Linked DNA regions of Yarrowia lipolytica. The protein of the gene in region 1 binds, or shares a complex with, the protein of each later gene. Links are inferred from orthologs where the notes say so. Each region holds a gene or a part of one and is shown on either strand. Other genes may lie near its edges.

The links.
Region 2: YALI1_B21798g (region 1) and YALI1_E36866g share a complex: the UniProt entries of both Saccharomyces cerevisiae proteins name them as parts of the mitochondrial small ribosomal subunit. The link is inferred for Yarrowia lipolytica from reciprocal best matches to the Saccharomyces cerevisiae genes RSM26 and MRPS8.

The regions. Positions count from the first base shown.
Region 1 is NC_090771.1:2,178,230-2,181,164, forward strand, and holds YALI1_B21798g (mitochondrial 37S ribosomal protein mS42), read left to right. Parts: upstream 1-1,574; coding exon 1,575-2,357; downstream 2,358-2,935. Other genes in the region: YALI1_B21787g (uncharacterized protein), read right to left, coding at 1-558; YALI1_B21816g (uncharacterized protein), read right to left, coding at 2,751-2,935. UniProt on the Saccharomyces cerevisiae protein: Component of the mitochondrial ribosome (mitoribosome), a dedicated translation machinery responsible for the synthesis of mitochondrial genome-encoded proteins, including at least some of the essential transmembrane subunits of the mitochondrial respiratory chain.
Region 2 is NC_090774.1:3,685,663-3,688,361, forward strand, and holds YALI1_E36866g (mitochondrial 37S ribosomal protein MRPS8), read right to left. Parts: upstream 999-2,699; coding exon 522-998; downstream 1-521. Other genes in the region: YALI1_E36847g (uncharacterized protein), read left to right, coding at 1-113; YALI1_E36887g (uncharacterized protein), read right to left, coding at 1,399-2,699. UniProt on the Saccharomyces cerevisiae protein: Component of the mitochondrial ribosome (mitoribosome), a dedicated translation machinery responsible for the synthesis of mitochondrial genome-encoded proteins, including at least some of the essential transmembrane subunits of the mitochondrial respiratory chain.

The DNA.
Region 1 (2,935 bases):
GATGCCGTCGCCCTGGCTAGCGGGAAGAATAGCCTTGATCTTGGAGTTAATAAAGGAAAACTTTCGAGAAATGGTCAGCAGATGGTTGCCTGCGTTATCGTAGACGTTGACCTTGAAGGGTCGATGAAGTCTGTACACCTGTCGCATGATAGCCTTGACAAAGCCGAAATCCTCCTCCTCCATGAACCCAAGCTGGTTTCCATTGCCATCCATGATGATGTATTTGTTGGCCTGTTCAAAGCCTAGGATCAGGTTCATCATCTCCATACGACGTTCAACCACCAGAATCGGCTCAGAAAGCATTCTGGTGATGGCATCAGCACCAGTAAGCACTCCGCCAGGGTTGGGTACCTGGTTGTAGTATGCAGGCTGCACCACATTGGGGTTCACGTTTGGATCCTGGGTGTCGACAGGTCTGAATCGTGCTCTCATCCGACGAGCATCGCCTCGAGGAGGATGCTGGAGTCGTAAAGATGACGAAAATGGCCGTAGAAAAGTACACACTGGCTGCCGGGAGCTTATCAAGCCGCTCAAAGGCCGTAACTGTCGCACAAACATGGTTGGACAACGTAGAAGAGAGACTGTTCACGGTGGTAGCAATGTCATACTGGATACATGCAAAAGTATGCACCTAGAGCTTGCATGCGATGGGCTAGTGGAGGTGTACTTTTCCCGGGATTGTGTGTTTCCAAAGAGCAAGAAATACTGGATTCCATTATTTCATGTCTGTGGAGCTAGCTCATAGACCTGGTCTTCTCAGTAGTCATTAATTTGACATCACACACAGACCCTGTCGGTATCCGCCTTGCCTTCAAAACGCCCAGTTGGGAAGACCACTCGGAAGTGTAATTTGGTGCCTGATAGTGTCGAGTCACTGTGATATAGCTACGAGTAGCTACAGTAGTTACTGTATATGGTCATACTAAATAGTACTGTACTTGTACGAAAGCCACAAGTAGGGTAGCTACACTATACAATGCTGTATTGTACTTGTACTAGCACGAGCACGCCTACTGTAACAAAATATAGAGTCGTACCCGCAGTTTTCGTAGACATTTGGAGATTATGTAAGCACACCTTTCGTACTCGTACTCGTACTGTAGACACCTGGGGAAGGGGGGAGGGTGTGATAACCGCACTGGTCGGGTCTCCACAGATGAGTTACAGCAAGGCCTGACAGTTTGACGTTCAGTGACAATAATAGCGACTCCATTACTGTACCTGACCCGCTCTTCCGATCTACTCCTTCCAGACCAACCAGCGATTACGTACATAAGGTACAGAACTCCCAACTGGCTAACACAAATTCTTTTGCTGTGAGACCCGCGCAAGTTTGTACAAGTACGAGAACATTAGGAATGACACAATTGTTGATTTGTAATTAATTCGCAGTCAAATAACTTTTTCTTACACCGCTATAATATCTCCAAAAAAGGCGCTCTACTACGTAATCCCTTGTTGTACATTTATATCTTCCTCGCCCACAGCTCATTCACCAGCCAATTAAGGTTACCGTACAAGGGCCAAAATTTCACTTGGACACATCCAGATCTCCATTTTGCACTCCAGACACCATGTTTCGAAACGTGATTAGCCGAGCCAAAGTGACCCAGATCGGCTCGATCCGATCCATCCACACCCCCGCCAAGCTTTCACGAGAGTCCAAGTACGCCCAGAACGGCCTGGAGGGTCTGTACTCCAAAAACGGCTTCAACACCGCTTGGACCGACTACCAGCGGTTCCTGGTGTCCAAGCTCACTGACCTGACCGTCGACACTCCTCTGCAATCGCGATCCCCTTTTGATATTTTGCGATTCACTGCCGCCGACCGAGATCAGGCTGCTACATTCAACTTTGCCTCTCAAGCCTTCAACAACCACTTTTTCTTCGAGGCTCTGGCCGAGAAGCCCGTGGCCCAGACCACAGCGCCGACAGACTACCTGCGTTCTCGACTGGAGGACAAGTTCGAGTCCATGGAGCGAGCCCGAGAGAACTTTTTGGCTACCGCCGACGAGATGACCGGAAACGGATGGGTCTTCCTCTACGAGGGAGGAGACAAGAACATGTACATTTCGGCTCACCACAACGCAGGATCTCCCTTTTCGTTCCAGCGATTCCAGCATCAAGAATTCAACTTCCCCGCCTCCGAGGAGGTCAAGCGGGACCAGCAAAACATTGAGGCTGCTGTGCGAAAGGGCCTCAAGGAGTCCATCCTGCCTCTGCTGGCCGTCAATGTGTGGCAGCAAGCCTACGTGGACGACTACGGAGTCAACGGCAAGTACAATTACTTGGAGAACTATTGGGAGTGTATTAACTGGGATGTTGTCAACGCTAGACTGTTTGTTGGTGCCCAGTAAGGGATGAATATAAAAAAGGGGGATCTGAATGTATATAGTTGAATGATTTTATCATGTAAGGGATGTCGGCAACAGTACGTCTCCCCACGGTTTTCACGTACTTGTAGTGGCTCACGTAGACACTATCTAGTGCTCTGTATACCTGAATCTGCTCACGTTGTACAACTGTTTGTCCATGTATCAAAAATAGAAAGCATTAATGTTTACTTTAGTGTGTAGCCAGAGGCTCGTGCTGGAGCTCTGCTCATGAGTCTGAAGCTCAGTACAGTATTCTTTTCAGACCCCCCATCTACTCATTAGAAATACCTCACTTCCAGCGTTAGAAACCGAAGTTCTTACGCCATTAGTCATTGTCCCATAGACATCCAATAAATAGCTCACTCTTTCTCATTATTACCTGTTCAGCTCTCCTGCGCCAACAATCAGCTGAACCAAATCCTCGTCCTCACACCAATCGATCCCAGAGGCGGTGATCAGAGCTGTGAAAATCTCTGCCAGAACTCGTCGTTTGTTTTTGGTGTTGTGTAGCTTGGCCTCGAGCTCACTAATAGCCTGGTTGTTTTGATGACGGTCCGCGC
Region 2 (2,699 bases), on another chromosome or scaffold:
TCGATCTGTTCGATGTTTCTAACGCCCGACAGGCTATTGGCAAGTGGACCGGATGGCAGGTTGATCTGCGACAATGGCGAAGCCAGGGTATTGGCAGCGTTGTTACTTTGTAGGGAACATGACGAGATGCGTTGATCGTGCCTATGAAGTATCCACCATACCCACAACTTATATTTACATGAATTTTTATATGACAACAAATAAGACATTACACGACGGCATGTACAGTAAGACCATGGCGTGTAATAGGAGCGCCTGGGGAAATGTATAGACATAGTTGACCTTGCCTTATCTTAGCTGATGCTGGATCACGCTTCACGTAATTATGAAGCTTCTATGGCAGGTATTGTGCCATACCGCTAACCGCCCAGTATCCTGAACATCCAACAATCTACGACATCTACGGGATCCAACGACAGAGGTACTACTCATACCAAGACTACTCGCACAGACCTAAACCGATGCGCTTTAATGCACACACACCTAGAACCAATCATTTACTATGTACATTTTCATTGGGCTTAAGAGGCTCGAAGGATGACCTCCCCGCCGAGGAATCGTCGGCAGGCCTCGTTGAGGTCGATGACATTTCCGTCCTTTCCGGGAGTCTTGATAAGAATGACCTCACCAATCTTGGGAGGGTTGACGAACTTGACCTTTCGTCCAAGCTGTAGCTGTCGCAGCTCCTCGGTGGTCAGCACCATTCGTCTACTAGGCTTGGAGACCAGCTTCAGGCTGTTGAGAACGGGCTGGTTCTGTCGATACTTGAGCTCGATCCACAGCCGTCGCGATGCCACGTTCTGGGGGGTTGTTTCTGTGTAGACAGCATCAGGGCCGTAAATGTCTCCTCGCTGCACGCCGGAAAGGAAACCCTCACGGTAGAGACCCAGGGCAATTTGCAGGTTGAGCTTGTTGTGAGGAATGGATGTGAGGGGTCGGCCCACTCGTGCAACGTTCTGCAGGTGCGCACAGAGGTTGGAGGCGTGCAAAAGAGGCATGTCGTGCTGGTGATGTGTGGTGAGATGAAAGTTGGAGGTTGAAATTTGCAACTCATACCCAAAACTTTATTTCGATAGTGTACTGTGTGATCAGTGGTAGGAAAAGCTGTCCAGTATGAGATGATCTGATATAAAAATGAGTATGAAAAATACTTGATAATGTATGATTCAGACATACAACAAACTTGTTATAATTTTTAATTGCTCATTTCTTCAATGTCAGGTCCTGTTATCTTCACGTCAATCCCTATACTTAAATACTTCTAGATAATTCCAACTAAACTCAACTAAACTCAACTAAACTCAACTAAATTTTACCAGTTCTGCAATACGACCAAATACTATTGTTTGACTCACTCATAATTCGTTACATTAAGTAATGTCTAAATGCTACCCCTACTTAAGCCCTGGCAACTCCCTCGCCTCGACACATGGGACACGAGTTGCATCCAGTCAGGAGCCAATGATCCACACAGTCCTTGTGGAACTCGTGATGGCACTTATTGAGCTGCCGACACACGTCGCCCTTTTCGTAATCCGTCATGCAAATAGGGCATTTTTCGCCCTCGATGAACTCTTTCACCGTCGACAATCCTCCAGCCTGCTCCACGTCCTCCTGGGTAGCCAGATGGTTCTTCATGGGGCTCAGATGCCTTTCCAACAGGGACAGATCCTCCATGGTAGGTTCATCTGTGAACAGAGAAGCCGCATTGAGAATGGGATGGTCTTCAGGGTACGTGCCTCCAAAGACATAGACGATCCATGACTGTCTCAGGGGGCGCTCGGGGATGGCTTCTCGTAGCGACTCTCGAGTATTCCGAGGTTCATTGGCGTTGTCACCAGTCGGAGGAGGCAGTGAAGGGAGGCTAGGCAGAGGTGGGGCAGTCTGTGAAGCCGGAGAAGTGGCAGGGATGAGAGGATGAGGAGCCACAGCAGGAGAAATGGCGGAAGCAGATGCAGAACCGGCATCGTCGACTTGTTCCGTGCTCGCCAGAGGGGTATGGTAAGTGGATGCCGAGTCGGGCATTTCCGTCAACGAGTCTGTGCTACCCTGTCTATCTGGGTTGTTGAATGATGGGCCAAAGTCGCTCATGAATTGATCCAAGATAGATCTACCACGCTCGTAGCGCGAGCGAAGAGGGTTATACTCTACTGTGTCGGTGGGTTCACTCAGACGAATGGGTCTGGAGGTGGCTGCTTCGAAAAACGGCATGGAATCAGTGGTGATCTCCGCATTGGGTCCCTGTCCGTTATCTTCCGAAGATCTAATTCCGACCACAAGCACAGGAACAAACGTGGATCCTTCAGTCGGAGGGAATCTAAACATTCGAAAGTAGTTGAGGGGTCGAACACCTTCCGCCCCAGAGGGTTCACGAGCAGTGATCTCAGGTGAGAGCAGACCTCGCGAAAGTCCAGAGAGGAACCGGTCAAAGTCGTCTGAGGATGATCCGGTACCTCCGCCGTTCTGGAAGCCAAACTCGGTGCCCACAAGCGAAGATGCGGTCATGGCAGAGGCCAGAAACAACAATCGAGACAACATGACCGACTGATTACGTGGCTGCCGTTCATTCGACATACCTGGAATGTCCATGCCTGGAATTCCGCCCGTCGGCACACCCGAATTCCGTGTGGATGCAGGCTCGGGTTCCTCCAGAATGTTCTCCAGCAAGGGTTGTGTTTCTGAGGCATCGATGGAAGCCT